Linked DNA regions of Styela clava. The protein of the gene in region 1 purifies or fractionates together with the protein of each later gene. This does not show direct contact. Links are inferred from orthologs where the notes say so. Each region holds a gene or a part of one and is shown in the gene's direction. Other genes may lie near its edges.

Region 1 (7,382 bases):
GTCATATTTCCGTCAATACAATCAAAAAACACAATAAGCTCAGCAGTCAATATGACAAATTCGAAGACCAACTTCGAACAGAAAATTTCCATGTGTTTGTATATTAATATAATTATACAACGACTTAGTTACTAAAAATCAATATCAATAATAATTCAAGCAATCCTATGCCACGCAATGTAGTGCGAAATGTCTTGTCGAAAAAATCTGTCATTTGTTTTTTTACTGATCTATACATGAAATGATAAAAGTAACTTTTCTGCATTACTGGAATTAATTGAACATTCGTAAAGATCCAGATAAAGCCATGATCATGTGGCCTCGTTAGTTAGAGTTGGTACTATAAAATCATTTCAGACTGGCCTTAGTATGCTGGTGACACAAAAAAGATGCCAAACGCCAGGACAAATGTAATTATTAAAACATTGAGTTTATACTGTAGTATTTTTGTTAATTTTAGGTTCATATATTTAAATTAAGTTATTTTTAGTGTATGTATTATTCTTTCCCTATTCAAAGCTTGTTCAAAAATGATTTTGATGGTTGTACATAGAATTTTACGATTTTTTATAATAAATACTGTAACTTGCAAATGTTGCAATAATAGTGGAATGCAAAGATTAATATGTAATTGCATTTGAAATTGAAGAAAATAATAAAACTTAATATAACTGTTTAGTTGCATCACAATATATGTCACAAACTAAAACTATCTTAAAAATATCTTTTAAGTATACATTATCAAAAACTGTTTGCGGCTCTTTTTACAATTTTCAAAATGCAATGCGGCTCTCGAAAACCCATGAGTTTGACACCACTGATCTATTCTAGACGATTCAAGCATTGCTTTGGGAAATTATATCACTTCAATTAAATTGAAATAATCTCGCTATATAAAATACAAAATCGTTGCTATCGTAAAGGTAAACCAATTCAGCCACTCGAAATATATTGGCCTTCACAAAGCAATGGAGGCAAAATTGAGAGTTCATGAGCTATGAACATTTGTTCTTTTCTTCGTCTTGAACTTTCCATACTCCGCAGCCCCTATTAATTTTTTTTTAATTTTAATTACCATGTGATGGTCATACATATCTTTAACTTGTATTTTCTGTCATGATGTATTATCTCAATGTGCCAAACTATTAATTAGTGTGCATATTTTGCTTCCAGATGACATAAATGTATTGTCATGTTTATTACCTCAGCTTGGAGTATTGACAAGAAAAAGGTGCCAGTAAATTAGGTAAAAAAATTTTCAACTCATTGTTATAATCAGAATTCACAATCAATAGAAATTATAAACAGCCAACAATCAGTGAGAATTATATGCGAAATCCCTCAGAGTAAATTTGTCTAAAATCGGAGGAAGGCAAAAAATATAGGTAGTTTCCATCCACACAAGCATTTCAAGAAGACTTGCTCGAGCCAAACTAAATGAGCATCGTCAGGTGATCGGTAAGGCTGCAAGTTGAATTCAGCCCTGCAACCTCCTGCATAGAAGATAATATTAATTAGTGGGCTATGAGCTAAATTCCTAAATTTAAACAAACCTATCTACGATGCATTATGTACCAGCAATGTTACCTACGATTAACTGAATATGTAATATGTCTAATAAATTCACCTACAAAAGCAAGTTCGATAGGTGCAAACTTTGTGTTATGGAATTGTATCGCAGCACAGTTTTGTATGACACCCTCTTTAAATGAAATTTCAATGATTAAGCGCAAACATTAAAATTACCAACTTTGAACTTTGTCATTATCTGCAAAATGTTCCACACAAATCTTTCCGCTATCGCGTTTGTAATCTTCTCTGATAAAAAAACGTCTATGATGTCCAGAATTGCTCTTTACAGCTTGCCTGTTACTCCAGCTTTCCAAGTAAGCAAAACTTCTTAGATATAGAGATTATTTTGTTTCGTTACAGGCGCAAAAAGGCAGGTACTACACGTAAAAACGACGCCGAGTAGCAAAAGCGAGCGAGAAAACGGACGCGAAAGGCGACGAGAAATATGTGCATTGGAGCGTATCATGAAATACAATGTTTTGCCTGTAGTCTTATGGAGTGACGTCAGAGTTGCCTATCATGTTGTTTAATGTCATTGAGTGGACTTATGACTCGTTGCGCTAAATTCTTCATATTGATGTTGTAGTGAAAAAAAATCGTTTTCTATGCAAATAATATTCTGATAAATTTCGGAACTTCAGTAGGCTACCAAATCAGGTATTTCGCCCAAAATTTTGCTATTTCCATCCACATGGAAAGACTTTGTTATAAAATGTTGTTTCCTTTCTTGTGCCACACTTGCCCGTCGATATTTTCTGAGGAACCATGACCACCATCTTTGAAAAAAAAAATTTTCAATTTTTTTTAATACAATTTTGCGGAATTTGCAGCTATTTGCGATTGTTCGCAGGCGGAAATTAATGCGGCCCACACGCTACCGCAAATGTGTATATTTGCCCCGCAGGTACATAATGTTTGCCGACCACTGCTCTATGCCAATCATGCGCCATCCCATCTTAACGTCAGACAGCTTTTCAAAAAACAGAAAGTGAGGAAAATTATCTGAACAAACTGAATTTTGCCAAGCTGCCCAACGAACAAGACGTAGTCTGACCAAAATTACAGAAATGTATTCTGAATGTTAACTGCTTTTGTATGTTTATTCGGTGTCCAGCTTTATTACCCTCGCGAAATTTTATAAAGATGTGGTAATTGTACTTTTTGCATACTTGAAAAAGATTGAAAAGGTACCGATTCACTTACCTTGGCTTTACCTTACCTTTTTATTTAAATGTGGTATGTTTTATTACCTCAAGTCCAGTTTTTGTTAGCGTAATCATTACGTCATTGTTGTGTAATTACACACTGAAATATTGAACAGTTAGTTCATCGTCATCGAAATGTTTTAAACCTGCGACTGATCTTGATAAAACACCTAACTTCTAGAACGATATTTATGTAGCTAAGATTTTGAGCCTAAAAAATCAGACCATTCCAGCATTTTGACTGTTGGAATTTATATGGACAGACAATAGTTATCTAAAAACGAATCTAGAGTTAAAACTTAGTCGTGTTTTGAAAGTCCGAGTGCTTCGCCGTTCCCCCCGATAAACATAAAAGCTAATTCAACGTTCGGGAGAGCACAGTTTTTCTCTGCTCCGAATTTTTGACAACCCCATAAACTAATATATACTAATTGCTGAGTAACACAATAAATGTATACACAAAAATGGAATTGGTCCGAACACAAATGCTGCAGAAAACTACGGTTGACCGTGTTTTTATAGCGTCTTTCAGAGTGGGGGCAGGATCAGTCGATAAATTTAAACGAGAGTCTAAAGTAAAAAGAGAAGATATACAGTTCATAAAATATCGAAATCGTAAAACTGCAAATTAAAACACAAAAAATGGCCAACGATTTTCCTGCTACCAAAAAATTTGGTTTGGTTAATTTTTCTCAGCGTAGCGTAGTCAAAATGACTTCCACGCTAAAAATTCTTTCTCCGATAAAATGCATAACGGCAAGTAAATGCAAAGTTATTTTGATGTAAAAGATAGATTTTCTATATTCTTGCATTTTAATATATATGGGAATTCAAAGTTTCCAAATAGATTTAAAGAAATGGGTAAACGAAAGTGTCATTGTACAACTCATATGCATTTTCTAAATATTTTGACTTGAGAAAATACCAAGAGTGCAAAAACATGATCTATATTAACATTTGTTTACATTTTATTGCGCCTCTTAATCATAATTGAAGTTTTAAATTGAGCCATGAAACAAGTTTGACAATCCCATCAATATACAAACCGGTCATGTTATAAAGTATTGCAGATTGAACAACATACATGTGATCATTTAGAATTAGTCCTTTCTGGGCAGAAGTTTCACTAGTGCAACATCCGGTAAATCACCCCAGGAAATCGGAGTGTCGAAAATTTTTAATAATTCATCATATATGACCTAAAAGTATTGCTTTCACCAAATATCAGATTTTTCCCACTGCCAAAAGATAAAGGGGCCCGGAGAGGGTTAAACACGAAGTATTCTCCATTTTTACTATGTTTGTGAATTTTTCTTTTTTCATTGCCAATATTATTTCATTCTCTTTTATAACTGACGAAGAATATAAAAAATACTATTTGAATTTTGGCCTTCTTTTACCAATTTAACATTTTCTTGTATAAAATCGGCCAGCAAGCAAAACTCCGACAAGTGCTGAAATCTCGCCCGTATGCTAAAGAACTACTAGCGCCACCACACGTCAGAAAAGCACAATAGTTTTTAAACCTGTAACCACAGAAGGTCCTCTTTGTTGGAATTTATAGATTTGGCTATGCAGTGCTGATACACGTAATAGTGTAATACTGTTATAGCTGTACATATAGTGTGCGTCTAAGAGCTTGTCTCTAGCAGTTTGAGAAATTTGACGGGAAGTAAAGCACTGAAGAATGGAAGCGTTAATTCCAGTTATCAACAAACTTCAAGATATTTTTAACACCATTGGCTCAGATTCAATACAATTGCCTCAAATAGTTGTGGTTGGATCCCAGGTAACTTGAATGATTTTTTATGAACGAGTCGGAATTGCACTTCATTCAGTCATTAGATAACCGGACCAAAAAATAGCATTTCACATGTTTACCGGTCATAGCCTACCTCCCAGGTCAGGCTTGGGCAAGTTCTGAAGTTGCTGCCCAAGTGATTTAGTAACGATGTACCTGTGTACCAGCTGCTTTCTGCAGTCAACTTTGTGAAAATGGTCAGCTCTTTTTCCAGATGATCACTGATCAATAGAGTTTTTGAAGCATGAATTTTTCTTGTATAATCTTGATAAGTTGCTCTTTGAATCTGTGAGTCGTGTGCTAACACAGCGGGATATCGTTAAACTAGTCAGCTCTTTGCTTTCCAGTATTTTGAATATAGTGAAAACGTTTGCCATTGAACCTCATATTGAAAAACTTGTAAAAACGCAGCAAAGAATACACTCATTTCATTAAAAGTAACATTTGTAATATGTCTTGTTTTATTTGAATGTGTAATAAAATACATTGAAGCGTGCAATGTAGGTTGGCTTCACTTAGTCTGGCACATTACCACATTTTGAATTTGCAATGTGACCCCATGGCAAAAATAATTGCCCATCGTTACCCCAAATGCATGCCAAACGTTAGCAGGTAAGTGATTCATATGCGAACTAAAATAATGCATATGGTTCGAAAGTCCTCTTGAATCTCTGAGTACTTTGTTGGGAAGCCCAAGTAATTGACTCGACCTGAGTCACTCTTTATCAAAGCCTCAAAGTGACTCAAGTCATCAAAATTAAATATCTCATACTCAACCAACTGTCACTGAGACTCGATACAGTGATTGAATAGACGAATAGACTTGGTACTCGGGTGACTCAAGACTCAAGTTGAGGGTCTTTTACCCAGCATTTGTTTACCCACCATTTTTAATAATGCAAAATTGGCATCGCACTTGTAAGCTTACCATTTGAACAGAATGTCATCTATGATTGTTTTGAAAGTGTCATATATCTTAGTGCCCAAAATGGATTAAATTATTCATCATCAATATTGTGTAACACATTTCAGAGTAGTGGAAAGAGTTCAGTTCTTGAGAATCTGGTTGGTCGAGATTTTTTACCAAGAGGAACTGGTATAGTTACAAGAAGACCTCTCGTGTTACAACTCGTGCACTTAGATAATGGAAAAAATAAAACGGAAGAAAATGATGACAATTCAGAAGAAGGTAAATAAAACAGTAAATCAGGTTCTGGTTTTCTACCAATCCTTCCTCCAAATGAGCCATATTTTAATTTTAGATTCTGATAAAGAAAATGAAAAACCAGGTTTGGAAAACCATGTAAATGGCTCATCTTCAAAGTTCAACCATGGCCATGAAGAGTGGGGAAAATTTTTGCATACAAAAGACAAAATGTATACAGACTTTGATGAAATTCGAACGGAAATCGAAAACGAAACTGAACGGATGGGTGGAACAAATAAAGCTATTTGCAGTGATCCAATTAATTTGAAAATTTTCAGTCCTCGTGTTCTGAATTTAACTCTGGTCGATCTCCCGGGAATCACGAAGGTTTTTTTTTTATTTTCTGTTAAAGATACATAAAAAACTCTAAAACATTGTTTTTTTGCTGAAAGATTCTGTATTTTTAGATGTTAAATACAAATATCAAGTAACAAGGAAAATTTAATTATGTATCAAATTTGTTGTTCAAGTAATACTAGTAGTTTAGTAGTTTCTAGTTTCATTAATCGAATGCAAATGTTTCAAAAATTGGTATCCAATACAAATGAAAAAATATGATAAATTCTTAATTTTAGGAGCAGCTTATACTATTTAGAAATTGTATTTTGAAAATTTTCTCTCAATGCTTTTGACACTGAAATCAGACAGAAAATTGAATTTTAAAATCATAATTTGTTCCCACAAAAGTTGATATTTTTTGAAAACTATAGGAGACAGGGTTCATTTATGGGCCAAGCTAGAAAAAATTGGATTGTAAAAGAAATAGCTCCATTATGCAAATCCCATTCGATCATTAAACATTGTATCAACGTAACCAATCATTGTAAACCTAATAAGTAACATTTATTGGTAATTTTGTATTTCATTAATCAATTTTGGTTTGGTAGTAATATACCGTAAGTTAATTTTGATACACATATTCAATGCATAATCATCTCTACTTCCTGTATCAGATTCCAGTTGGTGACCAACCTGAAGACATTGAAGCACAAGTGAGAGAATTGATATTACAATACATTTCAAATCCAAATTCAATAATTCTTGCTGTTTCTCCAGCAAACACGGATATAGCAACTTCAGAAGCCATAAAGGTATGTTTCAACAAATTTACCAGCAGTGATGTGAAATATGGGAAAATTTACACCCGAATCCATCTTTATCCTATATGAAGAAACGACTTCAGCTCCAGATTAAAGGAAATTTTTACTCGGACTCTTCAATTTCGGTCATACAGTAGCTACGGTACTCACATATCAGGATCTGCTGGCACAGAGCCATGTTTAGAGTGAAAAAACCTTGTATAGAAATAAGAAACTTCTACCTAGTTTGCCATGTATACTCATTACAATTTTGATATTATCGAATCTAGATGGCTCTTGAAGTTGATCCAGCAGGAAGAAGAACTCTTGCAGTTGTCACAAAACTAGATATAATGGATGCTGGTACTGATGCTATTGATGTTCTATGTGGAAGGGTCATCCCTGTCAAATTAGGAATTATAGGCAAGTGCAAAGCATGAGTATTTAGCTTAAAGATGGAAAAACATTATTAGATTATCATTTTACAATTTTTATAACAGGAGTTATAAATCGTAGTC
Region 2 (6,954 bases), about 6.3 Mb from region 1:
GTACTTGATGTCTTTTGAGGTTTGTAAACATGTAGGCCTGAGGAATGAAGGCAAAAGGTTATCGTTTCTTTCTTATCTCTGTTGGGTTTTTCTTTAAAATGCTAAAAAATTACTCATGTTTAATAAAATCGGTTCAGCAAATGAATAAACCGCAGCCTACAAAATTGCAGAATGTATTGTAGGGTTTACCTCTTATAACAATATACCCTACGGAACAGAAAGTAAACAACGTAGAACGGTAAAATGAATTTGATTCATATACACATCATTTGCAACAATAAGAAACAATAAAACATTTAGAATTATTATAATATGTGATATGTTTCGGGGCGCACTCAGCAAATCGCCTTCGGAAACCGCTAACGTAACGATTAAAGCCGTCATTGTTATGCAAGCACACACAAATCGGGTCTTACGGTCAGAATATGCATTGTCATGAAAGCGCGATGATTCTACCGTGTTTCCCCGAGGATAAGATCAAGCCTGAATTTTAAAAAGAATTATATATAATATGAGCGCTCGCCTTTAAAAAAGACTTAGTCGATAGCGCATCTTTTTGTTTAGTTAATCCCGTGGAAGTGCGTCGTTTCAATTTTGCTGGGACGTCGCAAAATTTCGTGATTCTTGAACCTTCCAATCAACCCATATCTTCTACTTTTACTGAAAAAAAGTAGATTAAATCGATCTTACCTGTGATGGTGCTATAATAAAAAAGTTTAATTCTGAAAGTTCGGTTTTCCGTAGATAAAAATTATTTTTCCTTGGTTCAAAAAGCGATGCGCACGCCCACCTGCTTTGCGATTTCGTTTTTATATAAAGCAGACTTTTCTACCAAGGCGCATTAAATGCGATTTCACTGACTGTCGTTAAGTTTTATTTGTCCGTTCATATAAAACTCATTGCAAAAAAAGTCTTTTATTAAAATGTATCAATACGTATTTTCTAGGGATGGGACGAGTCCGCCATTACAGAGATTCGACGAATCCGAGTAATAGACTGAAGACTCGAATCGAATCCTCCGAGTCCGTGACGTCACAATGTAAAAGCAGAAAAACACGTTTTTGACCAAGCTACAGCATCGTGCGCCCACATACATACGTCGTAGCTCATTTGCCTAATGGTTCTGCAGATAGCTGTTGAATCATTTTAAAAATATATTTTCTTTCTTTTTTGGCGGCCATAATACGAACGTAAACGTGGGCTTTTGTGCGCCTTGGCTGTGAACTGGATTTCCAGCCCACCACCTTGTGTCATTTCCGGGCGGCTATTCAGACATTTTTATATGTCAATATGAAAAATAAAAAGCTTTTGACTACAATGCTTTCCTATAATTCCAGATATTTCTAGCCGTAAATTTACTATGTCACGTGCGCAAATGGTAGAGAAATGCCTCGTCGTCAATACAATGTCTTCTACATCTTCTTGCAATTTAGTAGTTCATGTAAACGTTTTGAAACTCCCCACGCTTTCCATCGCTCCCGTTTTAGAGAAAGGATTGCACGTAATAAACTCGATTTAAAAGAGGTATTGATGAGATTCCCCACTGGGTTGATCGGGAGCATGTTTCATTTTTACGCGAATCAAAAACTCAAAAATATTTCGCTAACACATATTTTATTGTGTCACATGTATACCGAAAAGGATAGATAGTTTGAAAGCGACTGGCGCAACATTATTATTATCAGCGATCAATAGTTTTTAACCTACGGTATATTATCTGGATATCTGTCGTGGTCTTTATAAGGAGTGTTTATATTATAATACACACGAGGGATATTGTTACAGATCTAACCTTGAATTTTACCTAGTTAAGGTATGTAGTGAGATTTATAGAGGCAAAAGTACAAATATAGGCGTAAATTAGTAAAAACAGAATTGCGGTAAAAATGACGTGGACTTGAAATCGAATCCGAGTCTATAAAATGTGTGGATTCCACTCGAATCTGAGTCCGGATCCGAATCCCGGGCCATCCCTAGTATTTTCACGAGGAGTCGCAACTTGAGCATATTTTGGAAGGCGTCACAATACAATGAAGATCGAGAACCACTGAGTCCTAGTCGATAGCAAAAAATATTTTCTACTTTTTAAATGATTAATAATCTGTATTTAGCAGTTATTTTGAATAAAGACGTGCTATTTATAAGTAAATGAAAATCGGTATTCATATTTTGTATAATAAAAAATCTCGGTATTCTCTATCCCAAAAATAAGCCCTAGTGTTATTTTCGAAAGAAAATTGAAGACAGTATCTTATTTTGGGGGAAACACGGTATTATGATGATGTATTCACTCGGAATCGTGAAATGTTTGTTTTACACTATTTTCAATAATTGTATTTCGAATCAAGAGTCTGAAAAAGTACAATAGATTTATATTGTATTTCGTGTAAAATTGGTGTTCTCTTTGCGGCCCCTAAAATTCGTTTCGGAGCCCCTTTCAGGGCCGCGGCCCCTTGTTTGGGAAGCCCTGATCTAGACCTTGTGGATTGGTCCACTTCATGTCGAACAAGAGAACAATGTTCAAATATATGGTCACGAATATCAATAAATGTTTCCCCGAGCATCGTTTTCCCTGTTTATTGCCGTAACAATGACCAATCAGCAATAGGCCAACAACATCGTAACAACAGGAATTTATGCGGCCGCTCAGACCATTCTTTGGCTCAGACAGATATTCAGGCAGAGTTGTAAGTATTGCCTCGTTTTCGTGTATTTGCGTGTTATTTGTCAGTGTTTACGTGTGTTCCCCCAAAAATAGTTGTAAATCAAACAACTTAATGGTTGCTATCATGCCTTCCGACGACATTTAGTTTAGTTGCATAAATTTATAAGGACCAGTTTGTAGGCGCTAACCCCCAAAACACTCTTAAAATGAGCGTTTGGAATTTTGCAATAGTAAAGTATAAGGAGAGTTTTTCAGGGGTCAAAGGTCGGGGAAACGTCCATCACTAATATGGCTGCCAAATGTAAGAACGGTGCCGAATATCACATGAGCTTGTGCCCGGGAATTATAAAAAACTGTAAAATTTGGCCCGTAGGGTGATAGAAAAACTATGATATCCTTCTAGTCACTTCTTCCATCTTTAGGTACAGGATATTTGACATTCATTGATCTTGGTTTGTGTAACTCCTCGTAAAAAGAAATATTTTTTTGCCATTCCCATACCCGACAGTGACTGGCAATAGGCAATCGTCAAATATGTAAAACCTATCTTATAAGAGTTTCTAACAAGTTGCCATTCCCAGTTGGTCTTGTTGTTTTTCATTTTTTCTGGCATTCGTTTTTCCATGGTGGATTATATAATTTTAATTTTCTAAATCATCAAAATTTTGCAAAAAATTAAATTTTTTCTTCACGTAGTTAAGGTGAATTTAAATTTGCCATTATCTTCAATATCCTCAAATTGAAATATAGATTCTTCTGGTAAAATTTTCCGATCAGTTTACCTTCCGTGAAGATAGATTCTTAAATATGTCTGTCATCAAAAAATTCATCTTGCACATGAGTATGAAAAAAATACGATTGCACCAACTGTGCAATTTTAAAATAAAAAACAGTTTTATACATTATTTTATTCCCATTTTTTTTAACAAACGGTGAGATACCAATCGATTGTTCTTTGCTATTCAGTCTATTCTAACTGATTAGCGAATAATTTTTGCATCAAAATACTTGTATGCATATTCAAAAGCGTTATCAATATTTTCAGTTTATTAAAATGAGCCAATGCATTATCCGAATTTTTTATTATACAATTCAATTTCTAAAATTTGGTCTTGCCATAAACCGCCAATATTACCTGGCAACGCTATTTGTGGGCGTGTTTTAGTGGGAACGAGGAATTTCGGAGCCGAGCACGTTTTGAAGCGGAAACTTCTTTCACGAGGCGGCGTTTTACGTTTCTTCGATTTTCGGTACAAAAGCTGTTGAATATTGGCGATTTAGAGTCAGCAAAACCTCTTTAAAATGCCTGCAATACAGGATATCTATAGTGTAAACGTCAGTAATCGGTACGATATAGGTTCCGAACCTGACGATGAAAGCGACACGGCGGCGGATTATGATCCGTTAGACACCTTGAAAACGCTGGAAGATCAGAAAAAGAGCGCGTTAGAGGAAGCTAAAAAGAAAAAGCAGGCTTTGGCAAACAGGCCAAAAAACCAAAAAAAGCCAACGCGATTCCAAGAGAACAAGGATTCTAATGTCCCACCTAAAAAAGACGCAGGGGCACCAAAATCTGCAAAGCCAGGACGTCAAAATGACCGTAGCGATGGTCCCAGGCAAAATAGCGCTCGGCGACCTCGTAATGAAAGACAAAATTACGGGGAAGGTGATGAAAATAGGAGACCACCACGAAGAAGAAATGATCATCCACGGGAGAACAGAGAAAACAATGAAAATCAAAAAACAGAAGGCTTTGATCAAGCTAAAGGGGAGAAGTTGAGAAACCCTGGCACTGGAGATTATGGCCCAAGAAGAGATCGTGCGGAAAGGTACCGCGGAGGTCGTGGTGGAAATGGAGGTCGTGGTGGATATCAAGGCAGGAACTTTGGTGGATATCGAAATGACGGACGTGATGATCGCGGAAAACGTGAATTCGACCGACGTAGCGGAAGTGATCGATCAAGTGTGAAACCAAGCGATAAGCGTGACGGCGCTGGCCCACGAAATTGGGGAACCCCTGGAAACGAAATCGAGGAAACTGTGGAAGTTACCGCTGTAACTGAACCAGTCGGAACATGGCAAGAAAATGCTGAAACTGAAGGAACTGAATCACCAAAAAAGACTGAAGAGGAGGGAACAACCGAGGAAGGCGCAGAAGATAAAGAACCGAAAGAAGAAGAACCAACGGAAATGACACTCGATGAATGGAAAGCCCAACAGGAACAAGGCACTCAAGCAAAACCATCCTTTAATATTCGAAGACCCGGAGAAGGAGAGAGCCAAGAAAAATGGAAAGGCATGAAAGTGTTGCGCAAAGTCAACAAAGACGATTCGAAACGAGAAACCAATCCTGATGACCAGCATAAACGACAAACCAAACCACAAGTAAGCGTTAATATCCAATTCGGAGACAACAGAAATCAAGGGTTTGGAGGTCGAGGACGCGGAGGTAGAGGAGGAGGGCGTGGACGTGGGCGTGGCGGTCGTTTTGGAGGGGAACGAATGCAGAGGCAAGGTCATCAACTACTTCCTGATGTTCAAAACGAACAAGAGTTCCCGACCTTGGGTTAAAGGTCATCGTCAAGACCTTTCAAATCTGTGAATATTATGTGTGTGAGAATGAACTGTTGAACATCGTTTTAATATTAAACGGGGCTTCTATTTCAAAATAAACTTGATCATCGGTAAACGCAAGAACGCCGTTTAAGGACAATTTTTTTATGTGGTTTATTTGTTACGTTTTATGGCAAAATTCAAAATTTTACTCGAAAAAAAATAGTGACGTCATAGTTCAAAAAATTGCATGCTGAGTTTAGCTTTTTATTCCATTAAATTTCATTTGCGAATGTTTAATTATAAAGTGGGAACAACAAAAGTGATTCCTATTGTTTTTTTTCTGAAATTCACAAAGTCAATATCATGTTTGCTCCTTTTGTTGTTTGGCAGAAATGTAAGTTAGAGTAATAATTCAAACCTGAATTTGTCTCTCCCAATATCATTTATTGGATTTGAAACATCTTGGAGTTAAAAATTCAATAATTTAACTTGAATAATTCTGAAATTACCCTTTCTGTGCTAGCATAAAGTTGTTAATGTGTGTGCCGGACGACTGGCACATGATGCAAGTAAGACCACTGTGCAGCATATGGGTAAAACCTCCGAACACGATTGTGGGCAAACCGCTGTATGAGTTCAGCTGGAACCCCTGGTTTCAGAATTCTATACAATTTGTTTGAAGGCTTTTGCTTTATCTGTCACATGACAATGAGAATTGCTTTTGTTTTCCCACTTTTTGATATAATATTTGCTCATTTTAGTTGACTGTAGTGGAATAAAGTATCTCCATTTTACGCTACCTTTGTACTTTTTTGATGAATATGTTGTCTGCTTGCGTCAAATTTTTTTTTACACATATCAGAAATTACAATCCGAAATTTTCGAAATGAATACTTTTCGTTTCAGTTGCTAGTTTGCGATATAAAATTGAATGACTTGCTGCACCTTGTTTGTATGCTAATGTGTTAGCCTCTGAAAAAAATTATGTAAAATTCCTCTTCAAATAACTTTGAAAGTGATGGGCAAAATGCAGCATCTTGTGTGGCACCATTCGGATGCCATAACACATGCAACATAAGAAGCCTCTGTAAGAAATTGTTAAATTTTGGTTCAAGTGTGATGGTCAACACTGCGTAAGACGGCATTTTGTGTGGCATTATCAAAATGAGACGCCTTGAGAGTAAAGAAACCATGTATGCAAAGCTTATTGGTTTCACTAAGGAATGTACGTAATCATGGCTTGTCATAAACAGTCGTTTATATTTTATTTGAAAATGAAGCGGGTTTGTGGGTTCACTTTATGACAGATTTACTTTGCTTCAGAAAAAATCCAAGTTCACCAAAATCATGAATAAAACATTTGAATAACCTTCAAAATAAAATATTGATGCCTAAATGTCTGTCCTTGTGTGCGAATAGGGTGAAAAGAATTCTGTTTTCTGGTTCTCAAATATTTTGAGGAATAGTTATTTGTTGGTAACTTTGCTTTTTGGTTTTGTCACCAATGATACAACATCCCTAACCCTTTTCTGTTTACGTTTGTTAAGAACTCAAATTATCATCAAATATGTTCATTGTTTTACGTTGTTTTAAAGAAAAATTGGCGAAATGTTAGATTTTCATCTTTTAAAGTACAAACTCAATGTAATGTATGGCTTCGCTTGCGTTTGCTGTGTTTTGCATTGTTTTCTTCTGGCTGTATCTGTTTACGAAATAAAAGATGTTCTCAAGTG

The links. The genes of interacting proteins can lie anywhere in the genome.
Region 2: the proteins of dynamin-1-like protein (region 1) and intracellular hyaluronan-binding protein 4-like purify together in Homo sapiens (affinity purification with mass spectrometry; 3 studies listed by BioGRID and IntAct, with this or other methods). This does not show direct contact. The link is inferred for Styela clava from reciprocal best matches to the Homo sapiens genes DNM1L and SERBP1.

The regions. Positions count from the first base shown.
Region 1 is NC_135258.1:11,927,079-11,934,460, reverse strand, and holds the start of dynamin-1-like protein, read left to right. Parts: upstream 1-4,292; 5' UTR 4,293-4,464; coding exon 4,465-4,566; intron 4,567-5,610; coding exon 5,611-5,767; intron 5,768-5,840; coding exon 5,841-6,112; intron 6,113-6,738; coding exon 6,739-6,876; intron 6,877-7,154; coding exon 7,155-7,287; intron 7,288-7,364; coding exon 7,365-7,382. UniProt on the Homo sapiens protein: Functions in mitochondrial and peroxisomal division.
Region 2 is NC_135258.1:5,591,078-5,598,031, forward strand, and holds the start of intracellular hyaluronan-binding protein 4-like, read left to right. Parts: upstream 1-3,838; 5' UTR 3,839-3,967; coding exon 3,968-5,236; 3' UTR 5,237-6,954. UniProt on the Homo sapiens protein: Ribosome-binding protein that promotes ribosome hibernation, a process during which ribosomes are stabilized in an inactive state and preserved from proteasomal degradation.